Tribolium castaneum: one gene and its partner. Each later gene encodes a partner of the first gene's protein in a complex. Links are inferred from orthologs where the notes say so. Each region holds a gene or a part of one and is shown on either strand. Other genes may lie near its edges.

What was found. The genes of interacting proteins can lie anywhere in the genome.
Region 2: the proteins of unextended protein (region 1) and PRL-1 are in contact, whole or in part, in a crystal structure (PDB 8CT8), measured with the Drosophila melanogaster proteins. The link is inferred for Tribolium castaneum from reciprocal best matches to the Drosophila melanogaster genes uex and PRL-1. Residues at the interface, in NP_001104390.2 of Drosophila melanogaster: Leu391, Val422, Thr423, Lys442, Cys445, Glu446, Gln449, Asn450, Pro451, Phe454, Phe456, Asp458, His480, Val482, Asn484, Gly488, Asp489, Pro490, Phe491, Tyr492; in NP_001260487.1 of Drosophila melanogaster: Asp32, Ile33, Thr34, Ile35, Asn36, His37, Asp77, Gly78, Cys109, Ala111, Leu113, Gly114, Arg115, Arg142, Arg143, Gly144, Ile146, Asn147, Gln150.

The regions. Positions count from the first base shown.
Region 1 is NC_087397.1:6,213,464-6,216,475, forward strand, and holds the end of unextended protein, read right to left. Parts: intron 2,769-3,012; coding exon 2,594-2,768; intron 2,547-2,593; coding exon 2,208-2,546; intron 2,162-2,207; coding exon 2,024-2,161; intron 1,978-2,023; coding exon 1,711-1,977; intron 1,660-1,710; coding exon 1,427-1,659; intron 1,384-1,426; coding exon 1,135-1,383; 3' UTR 574-1,134; downstream 1-573. Other genes in the region: probable E3 ubiquitin-protein ligase HERC1, read right to left, coding at 1-104. UniProt on the Drosophila melanogaster protein: Probable metal transporter. Acts downstream of PRL-1 and protects the nervous system against olfactory carbon dioxide stimulation.
Region 2 is NC_087403.1:7,974,917-7,977,544, forward strand, and holds the end of PRL-1 (PRL-1 phosphatase), read left to right. Parts: exon of another isoform or gene 1-39; intron 40-521; 5' UTR 522-699; exon of another isoform or gene 700-703; intron 704-756; 5' UTR 757-1,044; coding exon 1,045-1,167; intron 1,168-1,214; coding exon 1,215-1,513; intron 1,514-1,565; coding exon 1,566-1,677; 3' UTR 1,678-2,095; downstream 2,096-2,628. Other genes in the region: protein phosphatase methylesterase 1, read right to left, coding at 2,199-2,350, 2,393-2,628. UniProt on the Drosophila melanogaster protein: Probable phosphatase. Inhibits growth possibly by negatively regulating Src64B-induced growth. Regulates central nervous system circuit formation and stabilization of synapse-dense terminal arbors.

The DNA.
Region 1 (3,012 bases):
GATTGCACGAGGTCTCTATTGGCTATACTATCACAGTCTTTTAGCGACCAGCTGTTGTTAGTCTGGTCGATCCATTCCAGTTCAATATTTGATAAGTTCTCCATTGTGCGGAGCCCCAACTAGAAGGTTTCAGTCGTTGAACACCGCGTTATCTGTTCAGAAACATCAATGAATTGGGCCGAGCTGGGCGAAAAACAACAACAACATACCTGTTACATAACAAATAAAAAATCGTTCAACGTGGATTTAACTCGGAACACGAAAAATTTTATTTGTTGTTTTTCCTGTGCTTGGCAGATAACACACACTTGTCATTTTCTGCTCGGCCTGACATATGTTTACAGGGAACAGATTTATCGACTGAGCAATTTTAATTTTTACTGGAAATTTATAAAGAAAATTGCTTTGTACACAACTTTAAATAAATTTATTGACCAAAATAGCACGAGCGTTAACTACATATTTGATTGATGTAATCGAAGTTGTGTTTATTTGCAAATTTAAATTTTATAGGGAACTGCTCTACCGACTAGCATTTGAAATTTCCAGAACGCGGGAAATGAAACACATTCGTTAATCTTATCATTTATTCAAGTAACAAAACAAAAGTAAAATAAAAAAAACAGGAAACATAAAATTTGACACTTTAAATTGAAAACAAGTTTCAAAAATTGACAAAAACCTAAGTTACTTGGCTTAAGTAGAGTTTACAACGCTAAGTACTACTAGCAGAGGTATTGATTGTTAGAATTGTACACTTCGTAATTTAATTCTAAAAATAAAGATCAACAAAAATAAAATAAACACAGCGATTGCTTCACAGTATAAATTGTGACACTTGATTTTAATAAATAGTAATATAAAAATAATGGGCAATGTGGCGACGTTGTCCCGCCTATTACTCTACTAAGGAATCAGGCTAGTTTTTGTCAAACTAAAAATAAAACCATTTTGATAAAATTGTCACTATTTACGTATCAACTTGGATAATTTCAACAATTTCTAACGATAAAATTTCAATAAATATGCACCTACACGATGTTATAAGGTACGGAATTGTTATCACCCTAAACTAATCTTTAACAAATAAATTAAGTACAATCGTGACTCTCGACCAGAGCCAAAGTGTCTATGTTATGATTTTTTCGCCAAAAGCGAAACCTCCTCCTCTCTCGCATTATGGCAGTCCTCCACAGGACTCGCAATAATCGACCCGTTGATATCGTGACTCAACCGATGCGGCGGACTAACGTTCGAATAAATCGACGGTGTTTTGGGACTCAAATTCGCCTCCTGATTGTGATGCAGATTCTTCGACGACTGTTTCCGCGGCGTCCGTCGGCCGGCACTCTCCGTGTCATCCTCCTCCAGCGAGTGCAGAAGCTGCAACTTCAGTTAGCCAAGCCTCAAACACACAAACCCGAACCTTATCAACTTCCTCGTCAAACTGATCGTTGCTCTGCTGCAAGTCGCGCTGAGACCGCTCCATCAAAGTCGCTCTTTTGGCTGCCAAGTACAGACTGCGCTTTATACGAAGATAAATCACCTCATTGGAGGCCCGAACCGTGTAGTCTGGCTGGAAAGTGTGACGCAGCAAGGCGTCCAAATTCAGCGACTCTAAACTGCCCAGCGTCGAAGTGGGCGCCGAAGGACTCTCGGCTGAAAAAAACATTTGTAGAATTTTGCAGCACACTCGACGAGGTTCGTTACCAACTCCGATCGTTTGGACGAGGGCTTGAGTGCCGAAAAATGTGAAAGGCCCACCCTCAAAGGTCAAATTCTCTTTACCTATAGTCACCTCGACCCGGCCTTCGAGGATCAGGACGAAATAATCCGCATTCTTCCCTTGTTGGTAAATGACATTAGCTGGGTCAGTGCGCCACTCTTTGTTTTTTTTAATGTGGTAGATGATGTCTTGGCGCAAGAGACGTTTTAAAATCGTCTCAGATATTACAGTCGGGAGGAAAAGTTCAACGGCTGAATCAAACAACTCACTGTTTGCCCTAACAATATTGTTACTTACCAGTGCTCAAAAACTGATACGCTGCGAGAGTCAACTGTGGGCTGATTCGTATTTTACTGGGCTCGCCTTTACGTTCGGCAAAGACGCTAAAGTCTTGCCTCCTTTCGGCGTTTCTCCTCCGTTTCGTTCGATTGTCGGCTGTTAATTATTAATGCAAAATTTCACCACCACATGTCTTACTTACTGAAAACATCCGTCTCGTCCATGATCTCAGCCTGGATCAGCTCCTCGATCACATCCTCCAGTGTTATCAATCCAATTGTTTCATAAAACGGATCACCTTCGCCCTCGTTATTGACTCGATGGACGAACGCCATATGTCCCTTATTGCCTTCCTTGAATATGCGAAACATGACGTCAAGTGTAACGTCCTCGAAGACGAAATTGCACGGATTTTGATAGAATTGACACAGGGTTTTTAACGGCGTGTTGTCGTCGGGATCGACGAACGCCAAATCCTTAATGTAAAGCATCGTTACGATGTTCTGACGGTTGCCTTCGAAGACGGGAACTCGAGAGTAACCTAAAGTCGCAATTTAGCCGTTTCTTTTACGATTAAGTTTACTGAACCTGATTTCATAATTTCCGACACTGTCTCAAAATCTAAGATCGTGTTGTCGTAGTCCAACATGAACACGTCTTCGATTTTGGTCATTACGTCGGCGACGGTTTTCTTGCGGAGCTCGAGAGCACCGCTGATTATGTTCACTTCGTCTTTGTCCAAGTCATTTTCGCCGGTTGTGACCTGAAAATTTATTGACACTCGGCTTATCTCAAGTTACCGGTTTATTAATCAGAGAGGTGCTAAGCCGTTCAAAGAAACCGAGTAATAATGTACTTAAAATAGATATGACTTATCACAGGAAAAAATAGCGCAATTAGCATGTAATTTAAATTTATTTCTTTATTGTGCATTCGCATGCACGCGACTTCAAGATCGATATTCCGCCGCAGGTTTTTTCTTGAAATTTTCATTTTTAGGTTGGCTA
Region 2 (2,628 bases), on another chromosome or scaffold:
CAAAAAAGCAAAACAAACGGTTAAATCAGCGGACCTATGGTATGATTTTTGCGTGAAAATGATTGGATTTTCTTTACGAATTCATGGTTTTTGGGCGCGAGGAACGTTAACCGTTAACCCCATGTCCCACGTCAGTTGTGTTTTGTGGACGGCGTGGAGTGGAATTCAAAAAACAATAAAAAATCGGACGAATATCCGATTTTTGATTGCTTATTGTTGACGCAAAAATACTAATTATGCTTATTGAAGGTGACATTGATTCCGTTGTTGTCACGAGTATGTGTTTATATTAAAAGGAACGCTTTGGCACCAATTCAAATGTTTTTTGGAAAGCGTGATTATTATTTGTTGTGTGACAAGTTCTTTTTCGAGGTTTTCAATGAAGACGCCACTAATTTATAGACTCGTTAGCGTTGTATGTATGATAATTAGCGAAGGTCAGATGGATGGGGTGTATGGATTGGCTTGTAATCTCTATTTCCGTCCTGAATTCTTGCTAATTGAGATTGTTTTTGTTGCAGTACCTTGGTGAGACAGTGCTCGCATACATGGAGTTCCATTTGGATAGCGCAGAATATTGCCAGGCTCAACACAAATAAATTAACAGGAAATTAAAAAAGATTATATAAACATTGAATTTAGTCATTTGCATCATCGCCATAGCATTGTTGGAATTACCTCAACAAGAGCCAAATAAGAGTTGGTAATTTGCGATGAATTAAAGTTCAGTTAAAAATAACGATTTATTTATTTTAGTTATCTTCCCTACAATCTACTATATTTGCATAAGCATATCATCAAGTATAAAAATAGTGTACATAACTCAAAAGTTCTAGGCAAATTAATCCTATGTTAATTTATTTGAAAGACTGAAATATTGCTTTAAACTCCCGATATATAGTTTAAAGTATAATTTTGTGGAAATTCTTTTTATAACTATACACTTTTGGCCCATAATAGAGGAGATAGCTTATTTGATCTCCAAGAGTGATACTCTGATATTCTAAACACATTTAGTGTTACTTGAAAGTGTCTTGTTGTGGAATGAACAGTACAGCCATGCGTCAGAAAGACATAAGACCTGCCGCAGCTGAGATCGAGCACAAAGGATTCAAGTTTCTTATCACGGACAGACCTTCCGACCAAACAATTCATGTTTACATCCAGGTCAGCTCGCACCAAATTTAACCAAAAATCACTTTTTACTTACGCAGGAACTGAAAAAGCACAGAGTTACAGCGGTAGTCAGGGTATGCCAACCTTCCTATAAAGTCGACGAACTCGAGAACGAAGGCATCGAAGTTTACGATCTCTCCTATCCTGACGGAACCTTTCCACCCAACGAAATCGTCGATGCGTGGTTCAAGATTTTGAAGAAGCACTTTCATGACAATCCTAATGCTTGTGTAGCCGTTCACTGTATAGCTGGCTTAGGAAGGGCTCCGGTAATGGTCGCTTTAGCTCTCATAGAATTAGGTCTCAAATATGAAGAAGCAGTCGAGCTGATTCGAGAGTATGTCGTCATTTTTTTTTTTTTTGTCACGTTTATTTGGTTTTTGTTACAGAAAAAGGCGAGGTGCAATTAATGCCAAGCAATTAGGTTTCCTTGAGAAATACCGTCCTAAATCTCGGCTGAAATTGAAGAACGGACACAAAAACTCATGCTGCGTGCAGTAAACTGTCATTACATATATGTGTTCAATAAAATTGCAACAGATCACTTAACTCATCATACCTATTATCTCTAATTGTGTGAAATACAAAAATATGCTTATTTTGTGTAAACATTCGTTTGGCCGATCGCGCAGTAGGCAATTCAACTTTTAACATAACTGTGTATATATGGTTATTTATTTAAGTGACTGTGTTTTCCAAATTTTACCATTGACGAGTACATGCTAGTTCTTTGTAACCATTTTCAAGCGTTATTTATTTTAAAGTAGGTTTGATTTTATTGACAGCTTTTTAACGACGATTTTCTTTTGATTGTCCTGCATTATTTTTCGTCTGTAATTACATTGCAACCATGTTGATCACTTAGATTTCACATTTTTAAGTAGACTTTCTGGAAAAATATATTTTATTATTATGGGTACACAGCGTCTCATTTCAAAACCCGTCCTTAGGAAGAATACATTTTTATTGAACTTTCAATACAAGAACACGAACGAAAAAACAAAATAAATAAACGAAACGAATTAACAACCAGGCATTGGACAGACTAGATCCACTTTAGCATTGGCAATTTTTTGTTTGACTAAATAACCGCCAATGATTTCGGCCACTTGGTGGGGCTGGTCCTCGTGAATAGCATGTCCCGACTTTGACAGCACTTGCAACTGAAACTTGCCTAAAACAGAAATTAAAAACCGAAACAAGGTCACGCGTTTACCTTGCATTTGTCCCACAGTTAGGGCGGTATCAAGGCCATGGATATTAGCAAGCAAAAGTAATTTCGGAATGCGTAAATCGAGAAATTTTTGCGACAACCCTTTAAACCAACCAGTCCAAAACCGCTCAGTTTTACTTAAATCAATCCTCCAGGTGTACTTAGGGCCGTCCTCGCCGCTCCCAGGCTCGGTCTTTGCCGATTTAGGCAGCGGCGGCTTCCCGCAATCGGAACAATTG